Saccharomyces cerevisiae S288C: one gene and its partners. The gene in region 2 interacts genetically with the main gene of each other region. Each region holds a gene or a part of one and is shown on either strand. Other genes may lie near its edges.

Region 1 (2,671 bases), on a different chromosome or scaffold from region 2:
ATCTTTCTAGTGTCATCTAATGATGTATCATCTCCTGAGATAGCATTAGAGCTTGAATGTGAGTTCGAGTGAATATGGCCTTTCAAATTTCCAAATGCCAATCTAGATAATGATGATGGTTTACTTTTACTTCCTGCTTCCGTTGTATTAAGCTGTTGGTTACTTGGAGTTGATGATTTGGATGCTGCAAGAATATTGTCTAAATTTTTCAAAAATGGGCCATCGCTTTCTTTTGTCGATGAAGTGTTTTTATTGTTAGTGCTATTTTCGGAAAGGGCTCCTGATATATTAGATGAGTTTTTTTTCCTGTCCTTTGGTTCATTCCTGGAAATTGTTCCATTGTCAGCGTCTTGTACGTTTATTTTGGGAATGTGGCTTACGGCATTATGGGCGAAGGAAAGAAACGTTTCAAAGGCGGTATGTTCATCATGGCCGTCTGGAGTTTTTTCCTCAGCTTGATTGCTGGACCCTTCTCGTTTCCCACTTTGCAGTTTTTCCTTTTCTAATGCCTGGACGGATAAACTTGGTACAGAATTTGAATTCGAGTTACCATCCTGAAAGCGACCCTTCAATGAACCTGCCGTCAAATTCGTGTTTGTCTTTTCAAGCCTGTTTGTTTCCATGGGATCTATAACGATTGGAATATTGAATACACCTTGGCTATGCGCTAAGGAAGATGCCGCCGCCTTTTGAGATCCTTTTGCAGGAGATTCCGTGAAAGTTTCGGGCTTAAGTAAAGACGGAATATCCGGATTTCCTCCTACTCTTCTGAATCGCTCAGCACTGGCTGTTGTGCTAACATTCTCTCCTGTAGTATTATTTAAAAAATTACGATCCTTCTTGTGCTTACGTTTGACTCCAATTGTCCTTAAAAAGGCAGTGCCCCAATGGTGCTTCTTTTTTGAATCTCTAGTCATTACTGTATATTTTCAACACTATCCATGGAGAGTAAGAACCACACACAGTAGCAATAATTTAATATCAATGGCAATAGCAACGAAATTACAGTAGATACCGTGAGCCAGCAGAAACAGATTGATATTTCGTATTTCAAGAAGGCAGAATCATTCAACCACCTACCGTCCCCCAGGAGGACAGATCCCAACGAGGGACCTTTGCGCCCAATTCTACTCCTGCAAGGGTTTCACTTAGAAATGCTTTTGCCAAGGTAAAGGACCCCTAAGACTAGAATGAACTACGCCGGTCCGTCCGGCCGTCATACTCCGTGGAAATTTACTTCTAAAAGGAGAAACAGCGATCTTTGCCGCATAAAGCCAGCCACTACTGGCGTGGAAAGATTTTTAGATTAGAAGACAATACAAAGCGGCAACGTCATAACCTTGGTATTTATTGGGCAAGCATTTTCATATCAGCGTACATACACCAGCAATGGGAATGTAAAGAAGAGTCGTTACTAGCATATTTTCTATTCATGCGGGTACCCAACATGTCACGTTTCACGAATTCTCGTGCAGTTTTTCAGCGATGAGCTAAGGCAGATGGTTATGGACTGTGCCTTCTGTAGTCTGTGGAAGAAAAAACTGGTTAACAGCCTACAGTAGAAATCGATTAATATAAACATATATCTAGCAACGTAACGGAGTATTAGATCAGTAATGGAAGATATCGAAAAGATAAAACCATACGTTAGGAGTTTTTCAAAGGCGTTAGACGAGCTGAAACCAGAAATAGAGAAACTAACGTCGAAGTCACTGGATGAACAGCTGTTGCTATTATCTGATGAGAGGGCTAAATTAGAACTAATTAATCGTTACGCGTATGTATTGAGTTCTCTGATGTTTGCTAATATGAAAGTCCTAGGCGTCAAAGATATGTCTCCTATACTCGGCGAACTGAAAAGAGTAAAATCATACATGGATAAGGCTAAACAATACGATAATAGGATAACCAAATCCAACGAAAAATCGCAGGCAGAGCAAGAAAAAGCTAAGAATATCATTTCCAATGTTTTGGACGGTAATAAAAACCAATTCGAGCCCTCTATAAGCAGGAGCAACTTTCAAGGGAAGCATACGAAATTTGAAAACGATGAACTGGCAGAGAGTACAACGACTAAGATTATTGACAGTACCGATCATATAAGGAAAGCAAGTAGTAAGAAAAGTAAAAGATTGGATAAAGTTGGAAAAAAGAAAGGAGGGAAGAAGTAGAGGTCGACGTATACTGGTACATGAGTGAAAAAATGATTAAAGGTGATGTGAGAGCACAAATGCAAAAATGCTTATAGGGTTTATATACTTTTATAATAACAATAAGAACTCGTTGAAGTAACTAATATGTGTATATGCTATTCTTGTAGTTGGCAGTGAACACTTTTGTGTGAATTGACGTTATATAAGACTGTAGAAATATCTAAGAAAAGAGAGTTTTCATAAAACCCTTCAAGCTTAACTACCAAAAAGCATTCATACTTAGAAGTTGAAATGCACGATGATGCCAAATTGATGAAAAAAGCTAAAAATGCATTTCAGAAGGGAAGAAAATAATAAGCAACATAACAGAGGGAATAGGTGCGCTTAGTCTTGTTGCTGTAAAATTAACCAATTATTCTTGTATTGTTCTAACGATCCGACCATTTCATCCTGAATACTTGTCTTCCTGCCAGCTCCTAATTTTTTATCGTGAGTGGAGCCAGCGAAAGTTTGAGCAT
Region 2 (3,570 bases):
CCACATAATAACCAAGAAATAAACACACCAAATCACTATAATTTGAGTTCCAATTCAGGAAATGTTAGGAGCAACAACAATTTTGTTACTACACCACCAGAATATGCAGACAGGGCAAGAATAGAAATCATAAAAAGGTTATTGCCTACTGCAGGAACTAAACCTATGGAAGTGAACAGTAATACTGCAGAAAATGCAAATATCCAACACATAAATACCCCGGACAGTCAAAGTTTTGTTTCAGACCATTCATCTTCATACGAATCGAGTATATTTTCACAGCCATCTACTGCTCTTACGGACATCACCACAGGCAGCTCGTTAATTGATACAAAAACACCTAAGTTCGTCACAGAAGTAACACTTGAAGACGCTTTACCCAAAACATTCTATGATATGTATTCTCCCGAAGTTCTGATGTCTGATCCAGCAAATATACTTTATAACGGACGTCCTAAGTTTACAAAGCGCGAATTGCTGGACTGGGATCTAAACGATATACGATCCTTGTTAATTGTGGAACAATTAAGGCCAGAATGGGGTTCCCAGTTACCGACGGTAGTGACCTCCGGTATAAACTTACCGCAATTCAGACTACAATTACTTCCCCTAAGTTCCAGTGATGAGTTTATAATAGCGACATTGGTTAACTCAGACTTATACATAGAAGCAAATCTAGACCGCAATTTTAAGTTGACAAGCGCAAAATATACAGTTGCATCAGCAAGAAAAAGACATGAAGAAATGACTGGGTCAAAGGAACCCATTATGCGTCTATCAAAGCCTGAATGGAGAAATATAATTGAGAACTATTTATTAAATGTTGCCGTCGAGGCCCAATGCAGATATGACTTTAAACAAAAGCGCTCCGAATACAAGAGATGGAAATTACTAAATTCAAATTTGAAAAGGCCTGACATGCCGCCTCCAAGCCTCATACCGCATGGTTTTAAAATACATGACTGCACTAACTCTGGTAGTCTTTTAAAAAAGGCTTTAATGAAAAATTTGCAACTAAAAAATTATAAAAATGATGCTAAGACATTAGGTGCTGGTACACAGAAAAATGTCGTTAATAAGGTTTCTCTAACTTCAGAGGAGAGGGCTGCCATCTGGTTTCAATGCCAAACACAGGTTTATCAAAGGTTGGGGTTAGATTGGAAGCCTGATGGAATGTCCTAGTAAATTTTTACAACAACGCAAAAACGAAATACCCCACTATTTAACCACTTAACGACATTAATATTAATTACAAAAGTGTTTGATACACGTACTATTATAGATTTCGACGACCTTTAAGATTAAGTAATACCTTTAATAATTTTAATATATTTTAAGCCTACTGCTCTAAAATTGCCCAAAAAAAAAACCCAAAAAAATCAACATTTAAATATGATGATACTCCCATATATATCGTATTTAAAGAATAACTCTGCTGTTGTCTTGATTATTTGATTGTTACATTATTATCAACGCGGTATTACCCGTATGCAAATTTTTCAATCAAGCAAAGCATTGCAAAATTTGCATTACCTTTAAAACCAGTTGACCTTTATACACCATAAAATACTCGATCAGCAACCAAGAACATCTATAAAAATACTTACCACCTTAGATCGGAATGAGTGATACAAAGAGAGATCCGGCCGATTTACTAGCTTCTTTAAAGATTGATAATGAGAAAGAGGATACAAGTGAAGTTTCAACAAAAGAGACTGTTAAGTCCCAACCAGAAAAGACTGCTGATTCGATCAAGCCTGCAGAAAAATTAGTTCCAAAAGTTGAGGAAAAAAAAACAAAACAGGAGGATAGTAATTTAATCAGCTCAGAATATGAAGTTAAGGTCAAACTTGCTGATATCCAGGCTGACCCAAATTCTCCATTGTACAGTGCTAAATCTTTTGATGAATTAGGATTAGCACCAGAACTACTAAAGGGGATATATGCTATGAAATTTCAAAAACCATCCAAAATTCAAGAAAGGGCGCTGCCATTATTATTACATAATCCGCCTAGGAACATGATTGCTCAGTCTCAATCAGGTACAGGTAAAACTGCCGCCTTTTCTTTAACGATGCTAACAAGAGTAAACCCAGAAGACGCATCTCCACAGGCAATTTGCTTAGCCCCCTCCAGAGAACTGGCCAGACAAACACTAGAAGTCGTTCAGGAAATGGGTAAGTTCACAAAAATAACCAGTCAGTTAATTGTTCCCGATTCTTTTGAGAAAAACAAGCAAATTAATGCTCAAGTGATTGTTGGTACGCCGGGCACTGTTCTTGACCTAATGCGTAGAAAATTGATGCAGCTACAGAAAATTAAAATTTTTGTTTTGGATGAAGCCGATAACATGTTGGATCAGCAGGGTCTAGGTGACCAGTGTATTCGTGTTAAGAGATTTTTACCCAAGGATACTCAACTTGTTTTGTTTAGTGCTACTTTTGCCGATGCAGTTAGGCAGTACGCAAAGAAGATCGTTCCAAATGCTAATACTTTAGAATTACAAACAAATGAAGTTAATGTTGATGCCATCAAACAACTATACATGGACTGCAAAAACGAAGCAGATAAGTTTGATGTTTTAACTGAGCTATATGGTTTAATGACAATTGGATCTTCCATTATTTTTGTTGCAACCAAAAAAACCGCAAACGTTTTATATGGGAAATTGAAAAGTGAAGGTCATGAAGTTTCTATCTTGCATGGTGATTTACAGACACAAGAAAGAGACAGATTAATAGACGACTTCAGAGAGGGTAGATCCAAAGTTTTGATTACTACTAATGTCCTGGCCCGTGGTATTGATATTCCTACTGTCTCAATGGTTGTCAACTATGATCTTCCAACGCTTGCTAACGGACAAGCAGATCCAGCTACTTACATTCACAGAATCGGTAGAACCGGTAGATTCGGCAGAAAAGGTGTTGCCATTTCCTTTGTACATGACAAAAATTCTTTCAATATTTTATCTGCAATTCAGAAATACTTCGGTGATATAGAAATGACTCGTGTTCCAACGGATGATTGGGATGAAGTCGAAAAAATAGTTAAGAAAGTGTTAAAGGATTAGAATTCAGTACATAATACCTCAAAATACGTAAAAGCTTTAATCTAATTTCATACACCAATGAATATATTATTACGACATCAATGGGTCCCATTTGTTTCTTCTCAGTTTGTTGATCCACTTTTACTTGTGAGGCAAGCTTATATAAATACAAACACAGCATATACCTTGTGATTTCGATACCTTTGTCACTCTCTTTTGTCACGGCTTTCCGGTGAACAGTAAACAGCCCGTATACAAAAGGCTTGCGTTAAAAGGAATACTAAATGTAAAGCATACTTGCTTTTTTTCCATTATATACACTGCTAACTCTACATAATTCGGGAATAAAATATAAACATATTTGACAAATTCTTTTGAGAACCCAAAAACCAATATATATACAGGTAAGTGAAAAAATCTCAACTATACAAGAACCAACCCCTTATAATTGTGGGGCCAACATGTCCATGAGTGGAGATTGAATAAACGCAACACCTGCAACGAAGAAGGCACCGTTTAGT
Region 3 (2,832 bases), on a different chromosome or scaffold from region 2:
CATGGCTACCATGCCATTGCTCTCGAACATCACTGAAGTAATTCTTCACTTTGTCCACAAAAGTCAAATCTTTCTGTAGTGGTGCGTTCTTGTTAGAGCAGTTCCATGAACACTGTTCTGGATGGAAAGATGGATAAGTATAGATGTAAATATTAGCGACGATAGTGAGGAAGGTGGCAAAATATGCAAACTTCTTGACCGCACACCTGAGCATCTTGGGATTCTTGGTACAATGCTGCTGCTGTTGTTTTCAGTTCTTCAATCGCGACCGGATAAATCGCTTGTAATAACTTAGTTTGCAATTTTTCTTAAAACTTCAGAAATCAAGTCACAATTGTAATGAATAATTTGGAAAACACAAGTCACCAAAAATAGCTCAATATTTGATAGTGACTAGGGGAGGAATCTAGCAAAAAAAACGTTCTTTATCTATATGAATATTTAGAAATTAAGATATGTAATTACTTTAAGATGTTCCGAGTAAGCAGAGGCGTTTCGCTCTATTTAAGCAACTGTTCCATTTTCATCTGCGCCAAATGATAAACAGTGTTGATTTCTCTTTCCAGGGCATTAATAAACAGAGTATAAATTTTAAATGCGTAGTATCTATTTGACATGACGAAATTGTAGAAATTCAACAGGTCCACAGTCAAAAACTGCTGCGAACCACGCATATAAATACCGATACATGTTACTACCAACGTCAAATACAGGAATCTTTTGACCAGAGTAATGAAGTTCATCAACAACTTGTAAAAGACATAAAATGTGAAGAAAATAAACAATAGTTGGAAAACTAACGGGTGTGATTGGCTGAACTTAGTAATAGTAGGAATCAACCATTGGATGACGTCAATGGCAGACTTTAGGCATTGTGTTACTACGGATAGTTCGTATTGCGGTTGAGTAGCGTCCATTTTTGGGTTGCTCACTTTGCCCTTTGGTGACTGTTACGAAATTTTTTTCAGTAGCTTTTTCTCTTCCAGTAATTATATTTTCTCTACAAAAAATATACTCACTACAAAAGCCAGCAAATAAATGATAATATTCGTACGACACTAGAGAATATGATATTGTATTAAGTAAATATATATATATAGAGAAGGAGAGAGAAAGACAAGAACAGGGCGGCTATTAAGCGTCGTCTTCGTCATTCATAGAGATAGCTGTCTGTGGCTTTTCTTCTTCTGCAACCTCAGGCTTTGCTTCCGGCTCTTCCGCAAATGAGTTGGATAGGAACTCTTTCATTAGGCCAGCCGAGGTTTCAAAATACTCAGCTTGAGCCTTGGCCAATTCCTTCAAATCTTCACTGAAGTTAGCGTGAGAAATAACCTCCTGCAAGCACACAGTAGCGTCTTCAGTGACTTGAGCAAACTGGTCTTCCAAAGTCTCCATTTGGACTCTCAAGGAAGCTTCCTTTTCTGGCTTCTTGTTGTTTGCCAAGTTAGTTCTTGCCACGTCATATCTTAATCTCATGGAATGGACATCCTTGCGGCACTTATCGGCCTTACCGATCTCAAAAGAGAGCCTTTCCCTCAAATTTTTATTGAATTTGGTTTGAATCAAGGTATCTTGTTGAATTCTAGCTTGAGCAATCTTAGCCTGCACATCACTGAATTGCAAGAGTGCCGAAGCCAAGGGTTGTTCCTCGGTGGGGAACATCTTGTTCAAACATTCACTGGAGTTCAAAGCCACTTTACTGAGGGCGTAGTTCAACGTCTTGGGTTCTTTGATGGGGCCTGGAGCAACTAAGATGTTTTGTGCCTCAGACGCAGATGTAGCATGAGTCAACTCTGTCAACTTGGAAGCCACGCTTCTTGAAAACTCGTTGACGGATTCGTTGATGTATTTAGGGTAATCGTACGATCCGTTTTCGTAGATAGCAGTTACACCCAAGAAGTGGTTGTAAATCAGTTTGATGGTGTCAACCTTATCTTCCAGCTCTGTGTACTCTCTTGGCAATTGGGAGATGTCCGTCACCTGGCCCAAACGTTCCTGGACCATTCTTTGGGTGGATTGCGCCAAACTGGGCAATTCCTGGGTTTTTTCGGAAACACTTGTGGATATTTCCTGTAATTTCTTGCTCAAAGAGCTGGCGAAGGCATTAAACGACATTGATGACTATGATTTGTTGCTTATTCCACTCCTCTGCCTACAAATCATATAGGTTATAGGTGAAGAAGGTTGCAATTTTCTTGTTTTTGACATCCCGATTAATCCACCGCTCGCTTCTCACGGTAATAAGGGAAAATGTCTGCCAGTATGAAGCAAACAACATTAAACTGAGAACATTGGTGAGTCAAGACCATAACTGGAAGACGTGGTATCAAGACGCCTTCACGGTAGTATGTGGAAGATTATGCGTTCATGGAAATGTGGGGGAATGCGCTGGGCACATCGCCAGCGACCCTCACACGAGCTGCTGTCGCAACTGTCGTTCGACCAGCATTACAAGATTAGGTCGAACATTGAGCTGCTGATACAGGACTACGCTAGTAAACCAATTGCGCCCCTAAACTACGAGTATTTCCTGCAATACAGGCCGCCGCTGACCAAGAAGGAGGAGTACATGCTGACGATCAAGACAATCAACCTGTTGCTTTCATTGACGTGTAAACGGCTTAATGCCATTCAGAGGCTACCGTATAATGCGGTAATCAACCCTCATATTGAGAGAACCAACTCTTTGTATTTGAAAAGCTTGCAAACGTTGCTATCAATCGCATACCCGTACGAGTTGCACAATCCTCCCAAGATACAGGCCAAGTTCACAGAACTGCTGGACGACCACGAGGACGCCATTGTGGTATTGGCAAAAGGTCTTCAGGAAAT

What was found. Genes that interact genetically often act in the same process or in processes that back each other up.
Region 1: mutations in DBP5 (region 2) and LRP1 together harm fitness more than expected from each alone (negative genetic interaction), as found in Saccharomyces cerevisiae (4 studies listed by BioGRID, with this or other methods).
Region 3: mutations in DBP5 (region 2) and APQ12 impair growth when combined (synthetic growth defect), as found in Saccharomyces cerevisiae (4 studies listed by BioGRID, with this or other methods).

What each region holds. Positions count from the first base shown.
Region 1 is NC_001140.6:265,922-268,592, forward strand, and holds LRP1 (Lrp1p), read left to right. Parts: upstream 1-1,616; coding exon 1,617-2,171; downstream 2,172-2,671. Other genes in the region: LAM4 (Lam4p), read right to left, coding at 1-917; putative serine/threonine protein kinase KSP1, read right to left, coding at 2,538-2,671. UniProt on the Saccharomyces cerevisiae protein: Required for exosome-dependent processing of pre-rRNA and small nucleolar RNA (snRNA) precursors. Involved in processing of 35S pre-rRNA at the A0, A1 and A2 sites. Required for activity of RRP6 in 7S pre-rRNA processing.
Region 2 is NC_001147.6:413,959-417,528, reverse strand, and holds DBP5 (ATP-dependent RNA helicase DBP5), read left to right. Parts: upstream 1-1,621; coding exon 1,622-3,070; downstream 3,071-3,570. Other genes in the region: STD1 (Std1p), read left to right, coding at 1-1,182; TOM6 (Tom6p), read right to left, coding at 3,492-3,570. UniProt on the Saccharomyces cerevisiae protein: ATP-dependent RNA helicase associated with the nuclear pore complex and essential for mRNA export from the nucleus. May participate in a terminal step of mRNA export through the removal of proteins that accompany mRNA through the nucleopore complex.
Region 3 is NC_001141.2:275,808-278,639, reverse strand, and holds APQ12 (Apq12p), read right to left. Parts: upstream 918-2,832; coding exon 501-917; downstream 1-500. Other genes in the region: TED1 (Ted1p), read right to left, coding at 1-214; GVP36 (Gvp36p), read right to left, coding at 1,135-2,115; protein kinase PKP1, read left to right, coding at 2,348-2,832. UniProt on the Saccharomyces cerevisiae protein: Involved in the regulation of lipid homeostasis in the endoplasmic reticulum, thereby impacting nuclear pore complex biogenesis and localization, and nucleocytoplasmic mRNA transport.